Callithrix jacchus: one gene and its partner. The protein of the gene in region 2 purifies or fractionates together with the protein of the main gene of each other region. This does not show direct contact. Links are inferred from orthologs where the notes say so. Each region holds a gene or a part of one and is shown on either strand. Other genes may lie near its edges.

What was found.
Region 1: the proteins of RPL11 (region 2) and RPLP2 purify together in Homo sapiens (affinity purification with mass spectrometry; 4 studies listed by BioGRID and IntAct, with this or other methods). This does not show direct contact. The link is inferred for Callithrix jacchus from reciprocal best matches to the Homo sapiens genes RPL11 and RPLP2.

What each region holds. Positions count from the first base shown.
Region 1 is NC_133511.1:131,090,706-131,100,822, forward strand, and holds RPLP2 (large ribosomal subunit protein P2), read right to left. Parts: upstream 6,096-10,117; 5' UTR 6,031-6,095; intron 5,820-6,030; 5' UTR 5,819-5,819; coding exon 5,696-5,818; intron 4,566-5,695; coding exon 4,496-4,565; intron 4,467-4,495; exon of another isoform or gene 4,333-4,466; intron 3,641-4,332; coding exon 3,542-3,640; intron 3,417-3,541; coding exon 3,340-3,416; 3' UTR 3,302-3,339; downstream 1-3,301. UniProt on the Homo sapiens protein: Plays an important role in the elongation step of protein synthesis.
Region 2 is NC_133508.1:60,427,368-60,437,314, reverse strand, and holds RPL11 (large ribosomal subunit protein uL5), read right to left. Parts: upstream 5,984-9,947; 5' UTR 5,961-5,983; coding exon 5,955-5,960; intron 5,208-5,954; coding exon 5,057-5,207; intron 3,989-5,056; coding exon 3,882-3,988; intron 2,846-3,881; coding exon 2,714-2,845; intron 1,703-2,713; coding exon 1,592-1,702; intron 1,163-1,591; coding exon 1,133-1,162; 3' UTR 1,084-1,132; downstream 1-1,083.

The DNA.
Region 1 (10,117 bases), on a different chromosome or scaffold from region 2:
GCCTCCTGGGTTCAGGCAATTCTCCTGCCTCAGCCTCCTGAGTAGCTGGGATTACAGGCACACCCCACCGTGCCCAGCTAATTTTTTGTATTTTTAGTAGAGATGGGGTTTCACCACGTTGACCAGGATGGTCTCGATCTCTTGACCTCGTGATCCACCCGCCTCGGCCTCCCAAAGTGTTGGGATTATAGGCGTGAGCCACCGCAGCAGCGGGTGAAACCACATCTCTACAAAAAGATACAAAAATTAGTTGGCTGTGGTGGAGCGCAGCTGTAGTCCCAGCTACTCTGGAGGCTGACGTGGGAGGATCACTTGAGCCCGGGAGGTCAAGGCTGTGGTGAGCAGAGATGGCACCATTGCACTCCAACCTGGGCGACGAAGGGAGACTCTGACTCAAAAGATAAAATAAAAAATAAAATATACACCGGGTGCAGCGGTGCATGCCTACAATCCCAGCACTTTGGGAGGCTGAGGTGGGTCGATCACCTGAGGTCAGGAGTTCCAGACGGGTCTGATCAACTCGGTGAAACCTTATCTCTACTAAATACAAAACATCAAACATCAGCTGTGCAGGGTGGAAGGTGCCTGTAATCTCAGCTACTCAGGAGGCTGAGGCAGGAGAATCACTTGAACCCGGGAGGTGGAGGTTGCTGTGAGCCAAGGTCACACCACTGCACTCCAACCTGGGCAACAAGAGTGAAACGCTATCTCAAAAAAATACACACACACACACACACACACACACACACGTAAGGCGGTCTCAGTGGCTCACGCCTGTAATCCCACCACTTTGGGAGGCTGAGGCAGGTGGATCATTTGAGGCCAGGAGTTTGAGACCAACCTGGTCAACATGGTGAAACCTGGTCTCTACTAAAAAATACAAAAATTAGTGGGGTGTGGTGGTGCATGCCTGTAATTCTAGCTACTTGAGAAACTGAGGCATGAGATTTGCTTGAACCTGGGCGGCAGAGGTTGCAGTGAGCAGAGATTGAGCCACTGCACACTAGCCAGGCCAGGGACGGTGGCTCACACCCATAATCTGAGCACTTTGGGAGGCCGAGGTGGGTGGATCACCTGAGGTCAGGGGTTTGAGACCAGCCTGGCCAACATCGTGAAACCCCGTCTCTACCAAAAACACACAAAAAATTTGCCAGGTACAGTGGTGCGTGTCTGTAATCCCAGGTACAAAAATTAGCCAGCCGCGGTGCACATGCCTGTTAATTCCTGCTACTTGGGAGGAGGTTGGAGCAAGACTCTCCATCTCAAAAAGAAAAAAAAAAAGGCATCTCTGGAAAATATGTCATGATCTGCGGGGGAAAAATTTTTTTTTTTTGAGATGGAGTTTCGCTCTTGTCACCCAGGCTGGAGTGCAATGGCGCAATCTCAGCTCACCACAACCTCCGCCTCCTGGGTTCAGGCAATTCTCCTGCCTCAGCCTCCTGAGTAGCTGGGATTACAGGCACGCACCACCATGCACAGCTAATTTTTTGTATTTTTAGTAGAGACGGGGTTTCACCATGTTGACCGGGATGGTCTCAACCTCTCGACCTCGTGATCCACCCGCCTCAGCCTCCCAAAGTGCTGGCATTACAGGCGTGAGATTTTTGTATTTTTAATGGAGATGGGGTTTTTGGCACCCTAGCCAGGCTCGTCCTGATCCCGTGACCTCAGGTGATCCACCTGCCTGGGCCTCCCCAAGTGCTGGGAATACAGGTACCCCAGGAGATGGCCTGCCCCTTCCACCTTGGGTTTGGGATCAGCAACTCATGGAGAAGGTCCTGAGATGGAATGTTTTAAAAGCATTTTGGGGCTGGACATGGTGGCTCACGCCTGTGATCCCAGCACTTTGGGAGGCTGAGATGGGCGGATCACCTGAGGTCAGGAGTTCAAAACCTCACCTCTACTAAAAACACAAAAAACTAGCCAGGAGTGGTGGCAGGCACCTGTAATCCCAGCCACTTGGGAGGCTGAGGCAGTAGAATCACTTGAACCTGGGCGGCAGAGGTTGCAGTGAGCCAAGACTGTGCCTTTGCATGCCAGCCTGGGCAACAAGAGTGAAACTTGATCTCAAAAATAAAAGCATTTTGGGTCCCCCTCCATTTCAGGACCCTCTGTGGCTCCCTGGCTCCCCCCACAACCCCCATTCCCTCCCCTCTGGGGACTCTGCCTTCCTCCAGGTCTTGGCTCCCCATCTGAGGGAGGCACCTCCAGCCACTCCAGCTGTCTTGTTAGATCCCATTTACCCTCCCAGAACTGAAGTGCTCACGTAGCAGGTGCACACACCAAAGCCAGTCCATGGGCTGCTGCTCCCAAGCCCGGGGTAGAAGGGGCAGATCATCTCCTGGGGTGCCTACACTGGTGGGCAAAGACTCTGAGGCCCAGGAGAGTTTGTACAGAGTAGGGCCAGGAGGGCAGAGAGGCTGAGAGGGGACGGTGATGGCCTCTGTCCTTAGCCCCATATTCTAGGCCACAGCCTGTGGGGGGAGGGCAGGCCTACCCCAAAGGACTCAGTTCGGTGGGCACGTGGCTCTGTGGTCACGGCCCACAAGCCCTGAGCACATCTGCCCAGTAAGGCAGGGGTTGGCTCAGGAACAGCAGAAAAACAAGCCCGGAGGAACTAAGTGATTGCCCAAGGTGCTCAGGGCATTACGGCAGAGCCATGACCCCGCAGGGGAAGCCAGAGGCGCTGCCGCCCCCAAGCTGGGCTCCCTTCCTGCATCCATTTGTGAAGCCCGGGGCTACCAATCCTGGCCTTGCAAGGCTGGGCACCAAGCCACACAAGGACAGAGCCCTGATTACCCAGACTCCGTTTCAGATCAGCTTCTCTGCCGTTCCACAGCAGTGTTTCTGCAGCTCGGCCGGAGTGCCGCGGCACCATGCCGGCCCACTGTAACTCCAACCTCCTGGGCAAGTGACCCTTTCCCCTCAACTTCTCACAGTTGGGACTGCAGGTACACACCACCAAGCCCGGTTAGTTTTTTAGAGATGGTTGGTCTCAAACTCCTGCCTCAAGTGACCTTCCCTCTTCGGCCTCCCAAGTGCTGGGATTATGGGCACGAGCTACTGTGCCCAGCCTGTTAGCAATTTTCCGGGTGTACTCAGGAGCCTGGACACTGTTTAAGGCCCACAGGAATGGGCCCCTGGCAGCTGTGATGCCCAGCCCCCCCAGCCCCTGCTCATCCTGCACCAGAGACCCTTCCCCAAAACCGCGTGACCCACGCTTGTGCCGCACACCTGCCGCCCGTGATGGGAACCTGTGCTCAGGCGACCTTGTGACAAACTGCTCATGGGATACTTGAGAGACGTGTAAAAAGGCTTTATTTGCAAGGGAGCAGCAGTTTAATCAAAGAGGCCAAATCCCATGTCATCGTCTGATTCTTCAGACTCCTCCTTCTTCTCATCTTTCTTCTCCTCTGCTGTGGAAAAGAGAGCATGGTGAGCACTGCCCGAGTGCCAGGCCAGTTCCCACAGTAGTGAAGACCCCACGACAGCAACAGTCTGAGCCTCAGCCCTCTGCCCACTCACCAAGCCCCCCACTTACCGGCAGCGGGGGCGGAACCAGCAGCAGGAGCTGCAGAGCCTGGGGCAGCAGAGATGGCCACAGCCCCACCAGCAGGTACGCTGGCAAGCTTGCCAATACCTACAGAAAACAGAGAGAAGCCGAGATCAGAGCAGCTGCCCAGCCTGGGAGGCTGTTCCACACACAAGCTAGATGGAACCAGGCATGGCACAGAGTGCCCAACATACCTGGGCCCCACCATATGGTTCCAGTGCCTCCCGTTCTTCCAGAACCCTCCCTTCCCAGCCACTCCTCAACATTCACTGTCAGGGACTTCTCTTTCCTACCTTTCCTACCCAGGGACTCGCCTTCTAGGAATCAGGCGACACTGCCCACCTCCCCACTTTCCCCACCTCCACCCTCCGAGGTCCACTGGACAAACATGTTTATGGGCAGGTAGGGAATGAATAAGCTGCCACAGCGTCCAGATCTCCAGCCACAGCGATGTGCTCATGGCTTGGCCCGTTTCCTGAGCTGGCCCTGTCCTGGTCATATGCAGAGGACAGCAACAGCTGTCCCAACAGCTCAACTTCCAAACAAGTCCCACCAGCTCAGCTGATGTTAACAGAAAACCATCTGCCCAAGAGGCAAGAAGCCTGTGGTCACCCCTGGCACCTAGTCCCCACCGGCAACCCCTTCACAGAAAGCACGGGGTGGAACCGTTTACGTGAACCCAGTTCTCCAGATCCCAAGCTTCGGAGGAATCCTAGGAAACGGCCTCAGGGCCACCTGAAAGTCCAGTAAGAGCATGTGCCCCTGCTGCCCTGCGCCTGGCGTGTCTAGAAGCGCCCATGCCGTGAGCCCACTGAAGCCCTGCTCACTCCTTGGGTGAGGCTTCTAGGGTGCTCTGGTCCACAAGCGAAACCTGGCAGGCCACAGGCTGACCAGCAGGGATTAGGATGGACCATGAAAACGAACATCTCTAGAGAAACTCACCCTGGGCAATCACGTCCTCAATGTTCTTTCCGTTCAGCTCGCTGATAACCTGGAGAAGACAATCGCCCAGCTGCTACGAGAAATGTGCAACTGCAGCCCTGGCCTTACCGATCCCTTCCAGAGTCACAGCAGGACTGGGTACACCACGTGGGAATACGCGCTGGAGTTTCTGGACCTGCGCTGCCCTAAGGGAGCCACCAGCCTTGCTGGTTAAGTGGTGCAACGATAAACGGAATGCAGCATTCTCAGACTCAACGCTGAGAGGACACACCATCTCACCGCATACGCTGACTATTCATATCTGTCTTAAACGTGGGCAAAATAAGGCAGCACTGAAACTGGCTTTGACTTCAGGCTGGAGTGCACTGATGGGATCCCGGCCTCAAGTGAGTCTTCCATCAGCCTGGGACTGCAGGATGAGCCACCGCACCTGGCTCTGTGGGACTGCAGTAGCGTGATCACTACTCACTGCAGCCTGGACCTCCCAGACTCCAATGATCCTCCCGCCTCAGCCTCCTGAATAACTGGGGCTACAGATTCGAACCATTGACTAATTTCTAATTGTTGGTTCTGAGTATAGAAATTTCTTCTTTTTAACCTTTCGAGGAGGCCCGGTCTTGAGATGTTTTCCAGGCTAGCGTGGAACGCCTGAGCTCCAATAAGCCACCCGCATTGGCCCCCGAAGTGCTGGGGGAGCCACGCACCCGGCCTGCCTGTTTTTTAAGCAATCTCATGCATCTCACCTGTATTGAATTTCCAAAGCTCGTTAGTCCCGACCTTGCCTCATACCCGCCTTGCTTTTTTTTTTTTTCTTTTTTTTCCTTTTGAGACAGTCTTGCTCCATCACCCCGGCTGGAGTCTCCTGCCTCAGCCGGCCAAGCAGCTGGGATCACAAGCGCCCACCACCACACCCGATTAACGTTTGCATTTTAGTAGAGATGGGGGTTTCACCAGGATGGTCTCGAACCCCTCCTGACCTCGGGTGATCCGCCCGCCTCGGCCTCCCAGAGTGCAGGGATTACCGGCCTGAGGCACCGCGTCCGGCCCCCGCCCTGGTTACTTCTCTACCCAATAAATCACCAACTGGACTGGCACCAGCCGCTCCCCGGACCCTCCAGCATGAGGCCGGATCAGGCCGAAGGACCCCCCCGGTACGGGCCACGCGCCACGCGACGGCTGCGGGGCAGGGGCGGCAGCTACCTTGTTGAGCCGGTCGTCGTCCGCCTCGATGCCGACGCTGTCCAGGATCTTCTTGATGTCCTTGGCGCTCGGGGAAGGGTTGCCCCCGAGGGCAGCCAGCAGGTAGGAGGCGACGTAGCGCATCCTGAGGCGGACGGAGAGGGCGCCACGGCGGAGTTACCCCGGCGGCCTCCAGCCTGCCCACCCCGGGGCCCCGGGCGAGGTTGCGCGTGGCTGGGCCCGTAGGCCTCTGCCGCAGAAAAACCCCGCCCCGCAGCCCGCCGCCCACCCCCGCAGCCCAACGGCCCCGCATCCCCAGCCCCAGCCCGCACCCCGGGCCCGGCCCCCACACTCACGCGGCGGCGTCTGCAGCGGCGGCGGCCTCACGCGTGCGAACTCGGCGGCGTCAGGGAGGAAAAGGAAGGCGCCAACGCAAGGGGCGGGGGTAAACCGCTACCCAGAAGCCTCTGGGACCCACGCGCGGCGACGCATGAGGCGCATAAGAGTGACGTCAAGAGGCGCTCAGCCAATGACGACGACGGAGAAACCATTGACCCCCCCCCCACCCGCTTCCCTATTCTCTCAGGCAGTTTCTGCGGCAAAGGCGAAGGGTAGTAGTTCCGAAACTGGCTGCTCTTATAGCGTGGGGCGAATGTCCCCCAAAACTCGTGGGGCGATGGGCCAAGCAAGCCCAAGGGGACGGCATCTGTCTTCTGTACCGGGGGCTCCCATCATGCCACACGACGCCTACAGCTCCCAACATGCAGCGCGGCCCCCACGCCGGGGACGTATCCTTTGCCCCCGAACCACAAGTCCCATGGTACACCGCTTCCGGAAGTGGCCTGCGCCACCGCCCTACGCGGAACTGCACGTGGGCCCGGGCAGAGGCTGCTGGCCATAAGCTCGCCCCGAATCTTTGGTGATTCCCAGGCCGCGGCGACCCGTTGTCCCATGTCCAGCCGGGCTCAGTGAGGTGAGCCAGCGCCTCGGCCTCCCCACCTGGGAGGCCGCCCCCGCCATGCGAGGCCAGGAGAATGTCGTGAGGCGGCGTCGCCACGCACCCCTGGGAGGCGTAGGCAGCCCCTGCGCCGGCCGCTTCGGCCCAGAACTGACCTCGGTGTCCATGTGGACCTCAGCGCATCAGGGACCCTGCTACACCCTGGGGTCCTGGGAGGGAACAGGGTTGGCCCTGCCTCCTAAGGACTGAGTTCGTGTGCGAGGACACAGGAAGCGAATGAAGGAAGCGATCCGAGGGACAGGGACAGAGAGGGAATTGGTCTGGGCAGCCTGAGAAAGCTTGCACATGGCAGTGTCCTTGAGCTAAAATATGAAAAGGAGCCGACCCTGCCAATATCCGGGGTCAGATGCGGATACCTGAGGTGCCACGCAGGCAGCGCCAGCTCGAGTGGAGCTCAAACAACAGTGGGGTTTGTTCCATCAAGCACTGGAACTCGAACTTCACAGTCGCCTTCAGTGGCCTCATTACCCCTTTGTAGATGAGGAAGTTGGGTACAGAAAGGTTTTCTTGCTCAGAGTCACACATCTGGGGTAAAGGCGGGAAACCACCTTGGGAACAATGGGATTTTTTAATTTTTGAGACGGGGCCCCATTCTGTCGCCCAGGCTGGAGTGCAGTGGCTCGATCACAGCTCACTGCAGCCTCAACTGCCGTTCAGGTAGTCCTCCCACCTCAGCCACCACACCCGGCCAACATTTTTTGTGTTTTTGGTAGAGACGAGGTTGCCCAACATTGGGCTCAAGTGATCCTCCCACCTGGGCCTCCTAAAGTGCTGGGGTTACAGGTGTGAGCCACCATGCCTGGCCAGCATGGGACTTATGTAATTACAAAGGGAAGCCATTCAGTGTCTTAAGCCGGTCCCTTCACATTGGTGTGCCACCGTCCATACCAACTTTTTTTTTTTTTTTTTTTTGAGTAGTCTCACTATTGTCCAAGCTGGAGTGCAGTGGCGTGATCTTTGCTCACTGCAACCTCCGCCTCCAGGGTTCAAGCAGTTTGCCTGCCTCAGCCTCCCTAGTAGCTGGGCCTACAAGCATCTACCACCACACCTGCCTAATTTTTGTATTTTTAGTAGAGACAGGGTTTCACCATGTTGTCTAGTCTGGTCTTAACCTCCTGACCTCAGGTGATCTGCCCGCCTTAGCCTCCCAAAGTGCTGGAATAACAGGCACAAGCCACTGTGCCTGGCCCCTTCTCACTTTTTTTTTTTTATCCCAAACAAACTCTGTACCCATTAAATTCCTGTTCCCTGCTCCCCCAGCCCTTGATAACCACCATTCTACTTTCCGTTCCCATGATTCTGACGAGAACACCCTTCAGATAAGAGTGAAATCATACGGTATTTTGCTTTTTGTCTGGTCTCTTTCATGCAGCTTATTTTCAAATTTCAAGTATCTACCTAAATGGAAGTCCCAAAGTCTAATGTAAGTAGAGAGATGTTTACGTGGGCCAGGCTTGAGGATTGCGACCTGGGAGCACAGATGCAGGCTGCCCAGAATTTACACTTGGATGAGCAGCAATTACAAGTCAATTTTTATTTTTTATAATTTTTACATGTATATATATATTTTTTTGAGACAGGATCTTGCCATGTCATCCAGGCTGCTCTCCAACTCCTGACCTCAGGTGATCCACCCGTCTCGGCCTCCCACAGTGCTGGGATTACAGCCTGTGCCACTGTGCCTGGCCTGTAATTTAATCTTTTGTAGAGATGGAGCCTTGTTGTGTTTCTCAGGCTGGTCTCAAACTTCTGGCCTTAAGCAGTCCTCCTGCCTTGGTGGCTCAAAGTGGTAGGATTACTGGTGTGAGCCACTGTGACCTACAAGTGGATTTTTTTTTTTTTTTTTTTGCAGACGGGAGTCTCGCTCTGTCACCCAGGCTGGAGTACAGTGGTGTGATCTGAGGTCTCAGCTCACTGCAACTTCCACCTCCCAGGTTCAAGTGATTCTTCTGCCTCAGCCTCCCCGCCAACCCAGGTACCTGGGATTACAGACGTCCACCACCACACCTGGCTAATTTTTTTTTTTTTTGAGAGGGAGTTCCACTCTTTTTGTTCAGGCTGGAGTACGATGGCACAATCTCGGCTCATGGCAATCTCCACCTCCCTGGTTCAAGCGATTCTCCTGCCTCAGCCTCCCGAGTAGCTGTGGTTATAGGAGTGCACCACCACACCCAGCTACTTTTGTATTTTTAGTAGAGACAGGGTTTCACCATATTGGCCAGACTGGTCTCAAACTCCTGACCTCGTGATCTGCCTGCCTCAGCCTCCCAGAATGCTGGGATTACAGGCGTGAGCCACTGTGCCTGGCCTTTTACTACTTTTATTATTATTTTTGAGATGGAGTCTCGCTCTGTCACCCAGGCCGGAGCAGTGGTGCAGTCTTGGCTCACCGCAACCTCCACCTCCCTGGTTCAAGCGATTCTGCCTCAGCCTCCTGAGTAGCTGAAGTTACAGGTGTGAGCCACCATCCCTGGCTAAGTTTTGTATTTTTAGTAGAAGCAGAGATTTGAGATGGGGTTTCACCATGTTGGCCAGGTTGGTCTCGAACTCTTGACGACAGGTGATCCACCCACCTCAGCCTCCCAAAGTGCTGGGATTACGGGTGTGAGCCACCGCGCCCATCCTATTTTTAAATTTATCTTGTTAGAGGGAGTCTCTCTCTGTTGTCCAGGCTGGAGTGCAGTGGTGCGATCTCAGTTCACCACGGCCTCTGCCTCCTCAGCCTCTGAGTAGCTGGGACTACAGGCATGAGCCACCAGACCTGGCTGATTTTTCTCTTTAGTATAAAGAGATGGGTTTCACCATGTTGGGCAGGCTTGTCTTGAACTCCTGATCTCAGGTGATCCGCCCACCTCGGCCTCACAAAATGCTGAGGTTACAGGCGTGAGGCACCGTGCCCGGCCTGTGGTTGGTTTTTAAAACGATCCCTCCGGCACCTACGTGAAAGGGGCTGGTGAGCATGGAAGCAGGGAAGCCTGGAAGAGACCTGCGCACCCCAGAGGGAGGGATGGCCGTAGCTGGGAAGGAGGAGGCTGTGCGACCTGAGTAAAGACGCAGGCGTCGCTGGTGTTTGCTACTTTCTCTGCCGGGCCAGGCAGCCGGGGATGCCGGGTTGGGGAGGGCGGACAGAGCAGGTTTCCGGTTCTTGGCTTTGACACACAGCAGCTACGGAGACTCGGGCCATATCGGATCTGTCAGAGCCTCCTGCCCTGAGGGAGGATCACTGCCAGGGCTTCGGGCCCAGAGTGATGGCTCGAAGGGAAGGGTCTCTGCGGGCCCAGAGGGGAGGTCCCGGCCGGCTTCCCGGAGGAGGCCGTAGGGGCTGTTTGGGGAAGGGCACTGCAGTTGTTCTGGCTTCTGGCAGGGGTGGGTGCGGGGCGGCGGCAAGAGTACCCCCGTCACCCGCGCCGCGGGCCTTCCGGACG
Region 2 (9,947 bases):
ATATAATAGCTTTTGCCAGGCACAGTGGCTCATGCCTGTAATCCCAACACTTTGGGAGGTTGAGGAGGGCGTTATCACTTGAGGTCACAAGTTTGAAAACAGCCTGGCCAACATGGTAAAACCTCACCTCTACTAAAAATACAAAGAAAAAAAAATTAGCTGGGTGTGTTGGTGGATGCCTCAAATCCTAGCTACTCGAGAGGCTGAGGTGAGAGGACTGCTTGAACCCAGGGCAGTGGTTGCAGAGATTGTGCCACTGCACACTCCAGCCTGGTCATCAGAGCAAGACTCTGTCTCTTTAACAAAAAAAAAAAAAGATGGCTTTCCAGTGTCAGCTTCGGTGAGATACAGAAAATCACTACAGGCAAAATATTTCCATTTTGCACCAAAGGGAAGTGAATGAGCAAAAGTAGCATTTCTCATATACACCAACACAAAAACTAAACTCCTTTTGAGCACTACATGCCTGATACTAGTCTGAGCATTTTGTTAAGTATTAAATCATGTAATCCTGAGATACCACCGTTATTGCCTCCAGGATACAGATATGGAAACTGAGGCAGATTAGCAGTTCACCCAAGGGCAGGGCTGGAAATAGAAAGACTGCCCTCTTATCTACATATACTGCCTTCCAACCTTATATTCTCGTAAAAAAAAAAACCTGAGCCTGAACAGTTAAGTCTAAATTTAATCTTAACCATTACACCAAAGCCTGTGATTTCTTCATAAAACATCAATGCTGACAAAATTTCTAGTACACAACAGAATCACTGAATGGGGGGACCCTCCTGAACACAGGAGCACTGCACCCTGCCTTTAATGGAGGCTCTAAATTCAAACCCCCAACATCAACCATACCCTCCCCTCTAAATGGGGCTACTGTACCACGGTGCATCAACCAAGGTGTGGCGAGCACAGGCAATGCTACGAAGCTTGGACTTGATCTGCCAGGAAGTACTGGCATCCAACCAGAGGACGACAGGGTTGTTACCAGCTACTCCCATCGAAGCTTTAAGTGGCTTGAGGTCCAAGGACTTGAATATGGCCAGGATCCTTTCACAGAACACACAACAGAACTGTACATTTCACTGAAAACTTTTTATTGATTGGCCTTTTGGACAGAAACGGGAATTTATTTGCCAGGAAGGATGATCCCATCATACTGAAAGAGAAGAGATTTAATTTTTTTCAGAACAGGAGGCAACAGCAGAGATTGCAGCAATGGCTAACATTTGAGAATTTAAATCTGATTGATACATGAACTTTCAGTCTGAATCCCATCCTTTTCTGGACTAAATAGGAAGCTGGCTGGTTTTTACACTGTGCTGAACTGCCCTATCATCTAAGAAAGGGGGGTCCTTTTTTAAAGCTGTATTCCTCCCCTTCCAACTACCCCCATTTAGGTGGGAGAAGGCCTAGTTCTGGATGTTCTTTTAAACCATCATCCCTGGAAGCCCCTGATTTGCAAAGGTGCCCAATACTCTAACTTTAAAGATACCCACCAAACCGTACTATACTTTGCATTCCCAAATCCCAACTCCATTCACCAACAGCACATTCCACCACTTCACTTGAGAGAAATCAGCTTTACCTTCTGCTGGAACCAGCGCATGGCCTCCTCTTTGCTGATTCTGTGTTTGGCCCCAATGCAGCCTGTCCTGCGCTTCTTGTCTGCGATGCTGAAACCTGGCCTACCCAGCACCTGTCCCAGGAATAACCAAAAGTCACCTAGCCAGCTCAGAGTCAAGAGCAGATGGACAAGATTCACACATTGCAGACAGATCTTCAAGAGTCACTGGCAGTTCAATGAATTCTGGAGCAAGACCCACAATCTGTGTCTGACAGAACCGGCACCAGCATCTCACACAACACACGGCCATACTATAGAGGTTTGCTTTGGAGGCTGCAACTCTCAGCACCCCCCTCCCCAAAACCATCTTCCAATGGTGCTGAGGAACCTTCATTACTGCTCCCTAATCTCCGAAACTTTTCTTTTTAAAAATAACATTTATAAATCTATTGCCACACCAGCAGTGTAGAAAACATAAAACTCCAAGAAGCACAAACATATATTTTCTTCCTTCTGCTTCAGCTCAAATGTGCTTCCCAAAGGTGTGCTGTCCCTCCAACCTCCTGTGAGTATCCAATTCTTATTACTTGTTTGGGCGTTCAAGTCTAATGAGGGTGCCAGCATTTTCCAGGTTCCACGCTACTCATAACTTCTGATTTAGGCTATTCAGTTTTACTGCTAGACTATAATACTGCAGTAACACAAAAGGTCATTTCTATGTTAAAACCCCATTCCTGAGCAAACCACTGCATCACCCAAAGCTGTTTCTATTGGACGAACCAGGGGAAAAAACAGCCTCAGTGCAGGCAACCCACAGGCCAAACGCAGCACCAATACTGCCTCTCTCCAAAGTTTCAAATCACTGGCTGGATGGAACAGTTTCCTTCATCCACCTTTAAGCCATTTGAATGCTTTATAGATCCTCGACTGCAAGCTCCCCAACAGCAGGGATCTTGTGCATCTTCTTCAGTGCTGCACCCCTACACTTGCCACAAACGAGGCACATTTTCCCAAGGGGGAGAGCACAAAGGCAAACAATACTCAAAGCTGCAACCCAACATGTGAACACCAACATACCACATATGAAATAAAGATTCCCCTCTCCTCACAGACCTGGAGCTGGAAAAAATTAAATATTCATACCACATAGAAGTCCAGGCCGTAGATACCAATGCTTGGGTCATATTTGATACCGAGATCAATGTGTTCCTGAATCCCAAAACCAAAGTTTCCAGTATCGGAGAAGTTGTTTTTTCTTAACTCATACTCCCGCACCTGCGGAGCAAAATGCAGCAATAACAACATTCCTTATCATCTTCAACACCCTCCCACCCCCAAATGCCCAAATAGCTCAACCTGCAATATGCACCCCAAAGCAAAAACAAAGGCTGATGAAACTTGGCTGGGAGCATAATCTAACTTCTTCACTACACCCAGACTACGGATTCACACCCCAACTATCCAATATGACCTCTCCCAGCTTCCAAAAGGCCGAGAAAAACCCAGAGAAAGCAGAGGCATGAAATGACTCCCAAGCATCTTTTTTTTTTTTTTTTTTTTGAGACAGAGTCTTGCTCTGTCGCCAGGCTGGAGGGCAGTGGCGCAATCTTGGCTCACTTCAACCTCCGCCTCCTGGGTTCAAGCAATTCTCCTGCCTCAGCCTCCCAAGTAGCTGGGACTACAAGCATGAGCCACCATGCCCAGCTAATTTTTGTATTTTTAGAAGAGACAGGGTTTCACCATGTTTGCCAGATGGTCTCGATCTCTTGACCTCATGATCTGCCCGTCTCGGCCTCTCAAAGTGCTGGGATTGCAGGCGTGAGTCACCACACCCCGCACATCTTTTTTTTTTTTTAAGACAAAAGTCTCATTCTGTGGCCTAGGCTGGAACGCAGTGGCACGATCTCAGCTCACTGCAACCTCTGCCTCTACATCCCAGGTTCAAGCAATCCTCATGCCCCAGCCTCCCGAGTAGCCGGGACTATAGGTGTCCATCACCAAGCTTGGCCAATTTTTATATTTTTAACAGAGACGGGGTTTCACCACATTGGCCAGGATGGTCTCAAACTCCTGGCCTCAAGTGATCCACGTGGCTCTCAGCTGGTGCTGGGATTATAGAGCTGAGTCATTGTGTCTGGCCCCAAGCATCTTTTAAACCACCAAGAATAGTTAACCCTGATGATTGCAGAAAAACCCTTTTAGAAGGTTAATAAATATCAAGGCACCAAAGAACAGAACATTAAATGTAACTTATCTACATGTTACTAAGGGGGTGCTGATCAATATCACTCCATTACGGGATCAGCCTCACCTTTAAACCCTTCTCCAAGATTTCTTCTGCCTTGGCCCCTCGAACTGTGCAGTGGACAGCAATCTTTTCATTTCTCCGGATGCCAAAGGATCTGACAGTGTATCTAGCTGCAGAAAGGGGGTAACAAGGAGTCAGATGCCATCATACCCCCACTACACTCACCTCTTTCCCAGAACACTATCTCCATGGCTCAGAGACATTATGTACTCCTCCGCACTCTATGTTGTGGTGTTCTAATTAGTGTTGCCTACATCTATTAATAAGATTTCATCCACAGCACAGATTTTCCAATTTCCAGACATCCAGCCATCCTTCAGCAGGTTAAGTTTTGAGAAGTTTATTAACTTGCCAAACATCACAGCTGGTAATGAAATCAAAGGCTGAATCCAAAGGCTTTCCATATTTCACTGCCCTAAGGCAACTGCACACATACAATTCATTTTACCTTCCACAATTATAAAGAATTACCCTCTTCATGGAAATAAAAAGGCAGAGGTCCAGAGAGCTCAGAGAGCGAAGCCATCACTCAAATCCAGGCAATCTAGGTATACAACTTTTTTTTTCTTTCGAGAGGGAGTTTCACTCTTGTTACCCAGGCTGGAGTGCAATGGCGTGATCTCGGCTCACCACAACTTCCGCCTCCTGGGTTCAAGCAATTCTCCTGCCTCAGCCTCCTGAGTAGCTGGGATCACAGGCACGCGCCACCATGCCCGGCTAATTTTTTGTATTTTTAGTAGAGACGGGGTTTCAACATGTTGACCAGGATGGTCTCGATCTCTTGATCCACCCGCCTTGGCCTCCCAAAGTGCTTGGATTACAGGCTTGAGCCACTGCCGCACCCAGCCCAGTATATAACTTTTGAGATGCCCTGTTCTTTTTGCAGCCTATATAACCCTAACTGCAAATCAAACCTAATCATCTTTACTTCATTCCTGACAACTCCACTCTATCTCATATCCTGGTTACTTGGGCTAGTCTTAGCTTAAGATCTGCTCATATAAAATCCAATGTTCCAATCCCACACCCAATCTTGAAAGACACTTCTTGGTTGGCTCATGAGTTCAATGCTGTAAGTGATGCGAACTGTCACTTTCTAAACAGACTCTAAAGCAAGTAAATTAAAAAATAACCAGGTGACCGAGTGGCCAGCCCTGTATGTCCTTGTCACTACTCACCTTTGGAAAACACAGGGGTCTGCCCTGTGAGCTGTTCCAACACCTTGGCAGCTCGGGTCAGTCTGTCTCCACTCTCCCCAACACAGATGTTGAGACAGAGCTTGCGGATGCGAAGTTCCCGCATGGGGTTCTCCTTTTCACCTTGATCCTGCTGCAACAGGGAAGAGCAGCAGTCAATACACTCACAGCTGACAGCCCTGAGTTTCTACTTCTATCTGCCTAGCATTTTAATTTCTGCTCATCCCAAATCGTAACGAAAATCCTAAACGTTTAAAGGGCATCAACGTGTTTGGGAGGCATCAAGGAAGTCAGCTCCGGACCCATTCTTCCTCCACGAAAGGAACGGGTGAAGAGAAACTCAGGATACTCGAGATCGAACCCTAAGAGGCTCAGGGTAACAAAGAGTGCCCCCACTGTAAGACCAACTAAAGGGAGTTAAGTGAGGGAACAGAAGGTAATTGCGGAGTTAACAGGAAGCACGTGGTTACGCAACGTCCTGAATCCCTTTCGGAAGCTGTCTGAAGGTTGGCGCCTTCCCTAAGCGGAGGAACCGGTTAAAGTTTCCCAGCACCGAGTAATCTCAAGTGCCTGGGACCAGGAAAAGCCCCGAACGCCCTGCCTTAGAACCCCCTATTCACCCCATATGCCTTCGCCGCAGCCTAGTAGCTGTGCTTCTGAGCTCTCCGACTAACTGCCCGGAACAGCTCCTAGAACGGTGGCAGGGGGCTTGATAGGCTTCAACCCTGCGTCCTTGGCCCTAACGGCTCTGCCAGCCTTGGGCTGGCAAGCATTGCGGGCTCCATACTCTTCGGGCTGCGGGCGAGGTAGCCCCCGCAGACTCGGCCTGCCATGGATGGAGGCGGATCAAGAAAAGCAAATCCAACTCCCAGCTACTCACCGCCATGATGGAGAACAGGAAGAGAAAGTAGAGCCTCCGGCCCAGGGCCTCATGGGCTAGGAGGCGGGTTCTTTTCCCAGGCTAACCACAGAGATGAAGAGGAAGAGAGGCACATTTGGCAGCGCAGTGCAGCGTCGGCTTCCCCCTTGTGGGTAGTGCTAGAACTGCAGGTGAAGCCGGCTGAAGACCTGGATCTGGGTTTTCCAAAAATAGTTTTTGAAAGCTCCCTGAATCAGCAAGTTCTTGAGTTTCCGGACCTCGAGGACGTTCTCTCTTCCCAGTGTCAGGAGCTGGTGGTCCTTGTGTATTGAGACTGCCAAAACTACATTAAATCAATCATGCAAATAATGATGCAAATTTATTCTGTAACAATGTAAACCCGTACAATTGATTGATTGAGACAGAGTCTCGCTCTGCCCTGGCTGGAGTGCAGTGGTGTGATCTCGACTCACTGCGACCTCTTGCCTTCCGGGTTCAAGCGATTCTCCTGCCTCAGCCTCCCAAGTAGCTGGGACTACAGGTGTGCACCACCACACCCGTCTAATTTTTTTTTTTTTTTTTTTTTTTAGTAGAGATGGGGTTTCACCATGTTGGTCAGGCTGGTCTCAAGCTCCTGACCTCAAACGATCCACTTGCCTTGGCCTCCCAAAGTGCTGGGATTACAGGCGTGAGCCACCACGCCTGGCACAAATAGAATTTATGCAAACGGAACAGAATGGTGGCTTAAGAGTCCCGAGCTTGAAGACAGGCAGATGTGGCCCCGTCTCGACCAGCTAGTAGCTATGTGACCTTGGGCAAATTACTACAGGGTGAGTATTCCTAATCTGAAAACGCTGGGACCAGACTTTTTTGGATTTGGGATTTTTCTGGATTTTAGAATATTTGTATAAACATAATGAAATATCTTGGGGATGGGGCCCAACTCTGAACAATAAATTAATTTATGTTCTATACATAACTTATACACATACCCTGAAGGTAATTTTATACAATATTTTAAGAAAGTTTGTGTACCTTGAACCATGAGAAAGCAAAGGTGTTACTATCAGCCACCCTTGTGGACACTCTGGTTGGTTGGCATAACCATTGTTCCAGACTCTAAATATATATGCTACTAATAAGCAATAATTTATTATGCTTATTCATACATAAGTACTTAACAGCAAAATATATGTTATGTCATTAATACAGTGAAGAAGTTCAGGGTAACTAAGCAGCAGAGGAGCATCACCAGAAAACCTGGATCAGCTGTAAAACAATGGTGACCCTTCCCCACCAACACCAGACCAGGTACCGTGGCTCACACCTGTAATCCCAGCACTCTGGGAGGCCAAGGCATGTGGATCAGTAGAGGTCAGGAGTTTGAGACCAGCCTGATCAACAGGGTGAAACCCAGTCTCTACTAAAAATATAAAAATTAGCCGGGCCTGGTGGTGCACGCCTGTAATCCCAGCTACTCGGGAGGCTGAGGCAGGAGAATCGCTTGAACCAGGGAGAGGAAGCTTGCAGTGAGCCGAGATCACACCACTGCACTCCAGCCTGGGTGACTGAGACCCTGTCTCAAAAAATAAAAACAAAAAACAGCAACCACAAATGGCAGGCTTTCAGTCTCCACTTACGATGCAGGGTTTTGATCAAAAGGTTACTGTACACTGTATTTTTTTTAGGTTGAGAAGAAACATCAGGAGCAGTTGGAGGGAGCAGGAAGTGGGTCCCCCTAGGGAAAAGGAGGCATTCTCTTGGATGGCTTTTTAAAATATTTCCTCCAGAGTCATCCGCCCTTTTTTATTGAGGCAGGGTCTTGCTCTGTTGCCCAGGCAGAACTGCAGTGGTGTGATCATGGCTCACTGCAGACACGACCTCCTGGGGTCACATGATCCTCCCACCTCAGCCTCCCACGTAGCTAGGACCACAGGTGCACGCCACCAAGCCCAGCTAATTTTTAAAATTTTGTGTAGAGATGGGATCTTTCCATGTTGCCCAGGCTGGTCTCCAACTCCTGGACTCATGCGATTCTCCCACCTCAGCCTTTCAGTACTGGGATTACTGGCATGAACCGCCATGCCAGGGCTTATCTGCCTCATTACCAGTGGTTTTTACCTTAGACATGGTTTATCATTTTGTTAGGAATGCATACTTCTCTTGTCCTTCAATAAGCCCATCATGCATTTTCTTTTCTTTTTTTTTTTTTTTTGAGACAAAGTCTCTCTCTGTCACCCAGGCTGGAGTGCAGTGGCATGATTGCAGCTCACTAAAACCTCTGCCTCCCAGGTTCAAGCAATTCTCCTGCCTCAGCCTCCCGAGTAGCTGGGATTACAGGCATGCACAACCAGGCCCGGCTAATTTTTGTATTTTTAGTAGAGACAGGGTTTCACCCTATTGGTCAGGCTGGTCTCCAACTCCTGACCTCAAGTGATCCACCTACCTTGGCCTCCCAAAGTCCAAGGTGGACTCCCTGTAAAGGCGTCCACCACCATGCCTGGCTAACTTTTGTTTTGTTTTGTTTTTAAGTAGAGACAGGGTTTTGACATGTTGGCCAGGCTGGTCTCCAACTCCTGACCTCAAGTAATCCTCCCACCCTAACCTCCCAAAGTGCTGGGATTATAGGCATGAGCCACCGTGCCTGGCCTATAAATGTTTATAAATGTAATGTCATGTCTCTTCTTAAATTTCTGCAACCAGCCAGGTGCAGTGGCTCATACCGGTAGCAGTTTGGGAGGCCAAAATGGGAAGGTTGGCTTGAGCCTAGGAGTTCAAGACCAGCCTGGGCAACATGGCAAGACCCTGCATGATGGGGGTGTGTGTGTGTGTGTGTTCCCAGCTCCTTTGGGAGGCTGAGGTGGGAGGATCACTCGAGCCTAGGAGGCTGAGTCTACAGTGAGCCACATTTACACTACTGCATTCCAGCCTGGGTGATAGAGTGAGACCCTGTCCCCACACCCCAAAAAATTCTGCAACCAGCCTGTTGAATATTTAGTTTCCTTCAATTAATCGTGATAGATCTTGCTCGTTGCCTTCAGTATGCCAGTATGATGTTGGATAGATCCATCAGTGCAATGCTAATGGATCTACTCTTTTTTTATTTTTTGAAATGAAGTCTTGCTCTGTCGCCCAGGCTGGAGTGCAGTGGCAGGATCTCAACTCACTGAACCTCCAGGTTCAAGCAATTCTCCTGCTTCAGCTTCCCAAGTAGCTGGGATTATAGGCACCTGCCATCATGCCTGGCTAATTTTTGTATTTTTAGCAGAGATGGGGTTTCACCATGTTGGTCAGGCTGGTCTCGAACTCCTGACCTCAAGTGATCTGCCCACCTTGGCCTCCCAAAGTGCTGGGACTACAGGTGTAAGCCATTGTGCCCAGCCAAATGGATTTACTCTTTTTTTTTTTTTTGAGATGGAGTCTCACTCTGTTGCCCATGCTAGAGTGCAGTGGCACAATGTCTGCTCACTACAACATCCGCCTCCCAGGTTCAAGCGATTCTCCTGCCTCAGTTCCCCAAGTAGCTGGGATTACAGGTGTGTGCCATCTCGCCCGGCTAATTTTTACATTTTTAGTAGAAATGGGGTTTCGCCATATTGGCCAGGCTGGTCTGGAACTGCTGACCTCGTGATCCGCCCACCTTGGCCTCCCAAAGTGCTGGGATTATAGGCGTGAGCCACCGTGCCCAGCCTCTGGATCTATTCTTTCAATACACAGTCGAGATCTTCATTTTTCACGCTTTATGCATTTTCTGTTTTTCATTAACTTCTGTTCATCATATTCAGTATCGAACTTCACCAGTTTATCCTTCTGTTTCTTCAGGTCATCTATGGTGTTCATGCCAACACCATACTCTTCTGTAGGACATTTCACACCTACGCTGCTGTCCAGTTTCTCCAGCAACTTGACTTTCTGTGCAATAAACATAACTGCTTTCTCTTTTTCTTTTTTGAGACAGTCTCGCTCTGTCACCCAGACTGGAATGCAGTGGCGCCATCTAGGGTTACTGCAACC